2 linked regions of the Macaca fascicularis genome follow. The protein of the gene in region 2 binds, or shares a complex with, the protein of the main gene of each other region. Links are inferred from orthologs where the notes say so. Each region holds a gene or a part of one and is shown on either strand. Other genes may lie near its edges.

Region 1 (3,651 bases), on a different chromosome or scaffold from region 2:
ACCCTATTTTGGGTTAAAGATCAGTCTGTACAAGAAATTCCGGTGTTATTTTTTTTAAAAAAAGCTTCACCTTACCTAAATTATTACCACTTTGGTTTTTCTCGGTTGTTTTGTTTTGTTTTGTTTTGTTTTGTTTTGTTTTGTCTTGTCTCCATTAGGAGATGTCCTCAGATGCTTCACTTCCAGGGGATCCAGAGGCCTATCCTGCTGCTGTGTCAAGCGGTGGAGCCATTCATCTGCAGACAGGAGGTGGATATTTTGGCCTAAGCTTTACTTGTCCTAGTCTCAAAAATCCTATTAGCAAGAAATCCTGGACTCGCAAATTAAAAAGCTGGGCATACAGGCTACGGCAGTCAACCAGCTTTTTCAAGAGATCAAAAGTCCGTCAAGGTAGTGTGCTTACAGTCAGGGACATAGACTAGGTAACATCACTTTTCATTTACTTATTTTTTTGTTGTTCATATACAAATCTTGCCACTTTTTCCACGTAGCCCATGTATGTGACATGTCCCATTAATGTCATTGCCGTTTTATTTTTTCCTTTTGTAACTAATTTGGTTTTCCAGTTATTCATTTCATATAGATACTAAGTCTTGGGATAAATCCTGCAATGTCTGATTTAGACTTAGGGACTTATACGATGTTGCTTATTACATTAACACCTTTTAATTGTCTAGCAGGAGTTAAGCTTTTTCTACTTTTCTTCATTTTTGGTAATGTAAACAAATTTAGTCTTAACAAACAATTTTCTCTTTTCTACTTACAATTTGGCAAAACTTGCAGTGGAAACAGAAGAGATGAGATCAGCAATTGCTCCTGATCCCATTCCTCTGACACGGGACTCTACAGCTGATACTAGGGCTTTGAATAGATGTAAAGCGATGAGTGGATCATTTCAGCGGGGTCGGTTCCAGGTTTGTGTCTTTGATTGAATCCTTATCTACAAGGGCATTATAAAACATAACAGCCACTGGAGATCTTGGTCTGTAGATGATACTTCCATTTTTGTTTTTTGTTTTTTTGTTTACTGAGATGGAGTTTCACTCTTGTTGCCCAAGTTGGAGTGCAATGGCATGATCTTAGCTCACTGCAACCTCTGTCTCCTTGGTTCAAGCGATTCTACTGCCTCAGCCTCCCGAGTAGCTGGGATTACAAGTGCACGCCACCACGCCTGGCTAATTTTTTGTATTTTTATTAGAAACGGGGTTTCACCTTGTTAGCCAGGCTGGTCTTGAACTCCTGACCTCAGGTGATCCACCCGCCTCAGCCTCCCAAAGTACTGAGATTATAGGCGTGAGCCACCATGCCCGGCTGATGATACTTACTTTAAATGTAGATCATTGTCATATTTAATTTGTTCACCTTCCATGCATCCCCTCACCTTTTGAAACCATCAGTAAAGATGAGTCTACAGAAATGGATAGTAGCTGGTAGAGAGCACAGAAATAGTTTTTTTTTTTTCTTTTTTTTTTTTTTTTTTTTGGCGGGTGGGTGGGTCCTCTTTTATAAATGTAATTTCACGTCTTTTAGAATCTCAGCAACTCTAATTGTGGAATTTTATTTGAGCAATATGATGCCCACTCTCTTTACCCAAGGGGCCTGTTTGAAAGAGTGAATTTGAGGGTATAGATTAAATTTTTAAGTTTTGCTAGTATCAATACATATACATCACAGCAGACCATCTACTTGTCTGTGCTATGCTAACCACTTTTACATTTTTATATCTCAGGTGATTACAATTCCTCAGCAGTCAGCAAAAGTGACATCTTTTGGAGTAGAACACATATCAGTGTTCAGTGAGACAAACCATTCTAGTGAAGAAGCCTTTATTGAAGCAGCAAAGTCTCAGTTGGTAGAAATAGAACCTGCCACACAAAATCCCAAAACTTCGTTTTCTTCTGAGAAGTTACAAGCTCTTCAGGAAACCTGTAAAGAAAATAAAGGAGTTCCCAAACAAGGTGACAACTTCTTATCTTTCAGTGCAGCTTGTGAGACTGATGTATCTTCAGTGACCCCAGAAAAGGAATTGGAAGAAACTTCAGCCACAGGAAGTAGCATGCAGTCTGGATCTGAACTGTTGCTTAAAGAGAGAGAGATATTGACTGCTGGGAAACAGCCTAGCTCTGATAGTGAATTTTCAGCCAGTCTTGCTGGCAGTGGAAAGTCAGTGGCAAAGACTGGTCCAGAGAGTGATCAGTGCTTACCACACCATGAAGAACAAGCTTATGCTCAAACACAGAGTTCACTCTTCTATTCGCCATCTTCCCCAATGAGCAGTGATGATGAATCAGAAATAGAGGATGAGGACTTGAAGGTGGAGCTTCAAAGATTACGAGAAAAGTAAGGACTGTTTCTCTTTTGTCACAAATCTGGTTGCCCTGGATTTTATAGAACTTAGTATTTGATTGGTAACTAATTTAGGATTGTTGACATTTTAATGATTGAAAACTACAAAGAATGCTAATGCTAAACATTTATGAATGAGAAAAAGTTCTTATATATAAAATGTTTTCATAGTCTCAAGACTATTACAGTTGCTTATTTACCAATATGATTTAATTACTCCTTTTGTTAACCTTTACAGTCCTTATTCTTAAGGACTTTTGGTTTTAGATTTTACAACTATTCTTATATAATTTCACATTTGATAAGTAAACAGCTGATTTATTATAATCAGAGATAGTGGTTCATCTTCTTTAGGAAAAGGTAAGATACTTTCAAGATCAAGCTTATTATTTGGTGACTGAGGTAATCAACCTTCACTAGTGAGATTATGATAATATATTTTGTCAATAGAATGCTGTTTTGTATTTAGTTTTATAAAATAGGTCATTTTAAAAAAAGAAATTCAAGCCAGCTGGGCATGGTGGCTCATGCCTGTAATCTCAGCACTTTAGGAGGCAGAGGCAGGTGGATCACCTGAGGTCAGGAGTTCGAGACTGGCCTGGCCAACATTTTGAAACCTTGTCTCTACTTAAAAAAAAAAAAAACCATACAAAAATTAGCCAGGCATAGTAGCAGATGCCTGTACTCCCAGCTACTTGGGAGGCTGAGGCAGGAGAATTGCTTGAGCCTGGGAGGTGCAGGTTGCAGTGAGCCCAGATTGTGCGCCACTGCACTCCAGCCTGGGTAACAGAGCAAGACTTTGTCTAAAAAAAAAAAAAAGAAAGAAAAAAAAGAAATTCATATTAAGTTGCTGAATTCTAATTCTATCCACATGGTTCAAAATTCAAAAGGTACAAAAGGGTAACCAGTAGTCTCCCTCCTAGCACTGCAGCTGAACTACCCAGGTTCTCTCCTTACACACAATAAATATTACCTGTTTCTTGTATATCCAGTTAGTCTATAACCGTACAAACAAATATGCATATTTCATTCTTTGTTCCCCCAAATAGTAACTTACACTGCAAGACTGTTCTTATATCTTGGTTTTCTTTACCATTTCATGGTATCTTGGATATATACCTGTATCATTATATTTTTGACTGTTTCAAAGTATTCCAGTATATGCATATACTCATAAGTTAATTACTAGCCTCCTATTGATGACCCCATGCCATTACTTTGAAAAGTTGAAACCAACTCTAGCAATTTTTTAATGTATCTTATGCTTTAGAGAATTCCTGCACTGTTCTGGAACTTAATTTGTAA
Region 2 (3,651 bases):
AGGTGGGTGGATCACCTGAGGTCAGGAGTTCAAGACCAGCCTGGCCAACATGGTGAAACCCGTCTCTATTAAAAATGCAAATATTCGCCAAGCATGGTGGTGTGTGCCTGTAATCCCAGCTACTTGGAAGGCTGAGGTGAGAGAATCACTTGAAGCCAGGAGGCGGCGGTTGCAGTAAGCCAAGATCATGACGCTGCACTCCAACCTGGGTGACAGAGCAAGACTGTCTTAAAACAAAAAAAAAAAGAAAAAAAAAAAACTGTGCAGGAGGGAAAAGAAAGGGAGCCTGAAATGCACAGATGCTTGAGGAAACAAGGAGTAGCTCACGACTTCTGGCACAGAGTGGGGACCAGCAGGGGAAAAACAGCTTGCAGAACTGGGAGGCTGCTCACCTGCTCTGCATCTTCTGGAGGGAAGCTCAGCAATCTGATCCCACCGGTCCTCCTCGAAATCATAGCACTCCACACTGCGGATTGCCTTGGGTGCCTGGCCGCCAACCACAATCATGACCTCCAGAGAGACAAGTGGACATTAGCGGGGTCTCCCCAAAATCTGGATTTATGGTATCCCTGGTACTTCCACATGGCTTATCACTCAGGGTCTGTGGATGATCCGAGATGCCAGTTTACAGAGCTACATACATGGAGATGCTGCCCCTAGTCACCAACAGGTATGAGTATTCAAGAAAAGTCTAACAAGCATCTTCCCACAGAAACACAATCATAAGTTCTATTTCCCAAATGCCCCACTAGGGGCTATCTTGTGGGTGTGTGAAGCCACGTAGGGCATCATCTGTAATCTCAGTGTCCTCAAGATTGGGAATGGGAGGTGCTAAATCTTATATCAAAACAAACTTGAATATACTTTGAAAAAGAGTGCAGAATTTGGATGCATTTTTTAAAGTATTATTCAAAAGTATTTCTGAATGCCTAGAATGTAGGGTGCACTTTTGCACTGCAGTATAGAAAAAACTTGTGAAAAACTCCTGTGAGGTGGTTATTACAAAAGTTATTAAACTGATGATGTTCTGAAAACTAGTGCTAGCAGTCCTATTTCCACAAGTAAGGTAGTAGCCACCATTGCCAGGCACTATGTGAAATGTGTTGTCATTTACTCGTCACCACAGCTGTGAGGTAATCATCATCATCCACATTGACAGATAGGAAAGTAAAGCTCAGAGAACACATTAAGCGGCCCAAGGTCACACAGCTAGGAGTGTAGGCAGAGACTGAAATCCAAGTCTATCTGACAGAGGGTGAGGCCAGCCACCCCCGCAACTCCTGCTCTAGAGACAGGATCCAAGCAAACACAGCTGGTTGCATCTGTGTTTGTCAAAACACAGGTCACTTTCCATTAGTAAGTCATGAAATCAATTTAATGGATTATGACCAGCATATATATTTTTAAAAGTACGATAATAAGAATATTATTTCATGAAATATTTGTTTTAGTTGTACACACTTACATGTGTCTTCTGGATAGAAATTTAAATGCATTTTGTATTGCAAGGGCATGGTCAAAAACAATGAAAACTACTGCTCTGGTTAGGTTAATAGAACTGCAGTACTTAATTGTGGTATCACTGCTGTGCCTTTGGTCACATGTTATTAATAAATAAATATTAAAGTACCAGTTACCTATAGTTTACATATTTTAATAAGCGTGTGCGAATTCATAGCTGTCCCCACAATGATGTCACTCTCACTCAATGGCATTCCGATATGCTTTCTTGAGTGGAGAGAAAGGGTGGAAGTTACAACCAGCAAATTCATTTGATCATTACCTGTAGCTTGTCTCCTTTACCCGGTGGTTCTCAAACTTGAGCATACATCAGAATCACCTAGAGGACTTGTGAAAACACAAGCTGCTGGGCCCTGTGCCCAGAGTGTGATTCGGTGGATCTGGAGTGGAGCCCAGAGGCTGCCTTTCTAACAAGTTCCCAGGTGCTGCTGCTGCTGCCACTCTAGGGTTCATACTTTGAGAACTACCTTTTTAATCCACACTGTGTAGATTTCCTGATGATATGCCATGAAAAACTTTTGCCATTATGAATTATCATAGGGCTTTTTACTTCCCCATGATGTATTTTTGGGGAGAGAAGTGCCCATCAAACTCTGTGTGAACTCGCAGGAGCACATCCCTCAAATGAACACTTCCCACCATACGGGAGGCAAAACCAGAGCTCACCATTACTACAGATCAATCTTTTATTCCCCAATATTCCAGAAGAGGCTCACCCACTGCCATGTGGGTGGTCACTGGTCATCAGATTTAGTCCATAGCTGTCTGTCACCAAAAGTGGGTGACCAGTGTTCAAAAATTCAGATATCAGTTCTGACTTCTAAAGCATTCCAAAGGAACCCAGGACACAAAGCCCAGCCTCGAGCTGCTGCTGCTGCTGCTTCCAGACAGAAACATTCTGTTCTTGACTTTCCTGGGTGCCTCAGTTCAGAGGGCCCACTGCCCTGTGTCAAGAGTAGCCTTTTTCAGAGTAAAGATGAATTCTACATTACTTCCCATCTGGAATTCTTTGCTTAGACAGGCATCCATGAACAGTTCAAGGGGGATGTTAATGAGCACAGCCCCTTGGCAAACTCCAGACAATGCCTAATCTACTCTTCAAGGCCAGAATTACGTGCTTGTAAATATGCCCAGAACTTGCATTGTCTTTCCGGTTTTGAGTTGGTAAAGCCAAACTGAAGGCAAATATTGCAAGATTTTCTTTGAAATCTGATTTCTGAAGCTGAGTGAGAATAAAAGCAGTTTTAAGTTTTCTTTCTGCAAGGACTTTAGGCACCCCACACCCTCCCACATGCTGTTCCCTGACTCGAAACCTTCTTCCCAACTCTGAGCGCTCTGCCTTAACACCTGCTTATCTTTCAGGTCTCAGTTTACATGTTATTTCCTACAAATGGACTTCTCTGGCCTCCAAGTCAGAACTACACATCCATCCTCTGAGATTTCACCTGCCCTGTGGGTTCTGCATTGTGCTGGACCATCAGTGACTTGTCTTTTGCGCCTCTAGACGGTGAGCCCTGCCTGGGCAGAAGATGTATCTGCCTCAGTCACCAAGATAACTCCACAAACTTATGTTGCCAGGTAAAAGTGAGGGCTCAAGTATTTGTTTGGAATAAAGAATACATGAATAAAAAGTAAACAGCACATGCAAGGAGTTCAACAACAATACAGAGTTTTTAAAAATGAAAAAAGAAACTAAACTAAAATGCCATTTTCTTTAGTTAAAATATGTTGGAACACCAGATTAAAATTCTGGAGACAGTGAGGAAAAAACAAGCAAAATAAAAAGAGAAAGTGAGAGTTTTTCCATCTTTTGACTCGACCACCAAAAGAAAGTTTGCTTATTCTTGGCATAAGCTATCCAGCTTCTTTTGTAAATTTAAAAAAAAAAAGGGCAAAGTTTTCAGGAACCCTCACCATGCCCCAGAAACTATCTCCCACCAGGGAAGTAGAGGGTACATTCATATTGGAGAAAATCTACCACTCATCTCTGAGAATTTTCACAGAAACAGTGTTACAGAATGCAAATTTTGTAATGTTAAAGTAAAGCCTCAGTAGAAAGACAAAAATGATACACGACAGCTAGGTGCAGTGGCTCACACCTGTAATCCCAGTACTTTAGGTGGCACAGGC

The links.
Region 1: the proteins of KLHL3 (region 2) and WNK3 are in contact, whole or in part, in a crystal structure (PDB 5NKP), measured with the Homo sapiens proteins. The link is inferred for Macaca fascicularis from reciprocal best matches to the Homo sapiens genes KLHL3 and WNK3. Residues at the interface, in NP_059111.2 of Homo sapiens: Lys312, Arg339, Phe355, Gly357, Arg360, Thr386, Phe402, Gly404, Ser405, Gly407, Ser432, Ser433, Tyr449, Gly451, Arg454, Cys456, Ser481, His498, Arg528, Tyr577; in NP_065973.2 of Homo sapiens: Glu537, Cys538, Glu539, Glu540, Thr541, Glu542, Val543, Asp544, Gln545, His546.

Annotation. Positions count from the first base shown.
Region 1 is NC_088395.1:54,211,718-54,215,368, reverse strand, and holds part of WNK3 (serine/threonine-protein kinase WNK3), read left to right. Parts: intron 1-158; coding exon 159-390; intron 391-783; coding exon 784-914; intron 915-1,729; coding exon 1,730-2,340; intron 2,341-3,651.
Region 2 is NC_088380.1:144,120,844-144,124,494, forward strand, and holds part of KLHL3 (kelch-like protein 3), read right to left. Parts: intron 511-3,651; coding exon 393-510; intron 1-392. UniProt on the Homo sapiens protein: Substrate-specific adapter of a BCR (BTB-CUL3-RBX1) E3 ubiquitin ligase complex that acts as a regulator of ion transport in the distal nephron.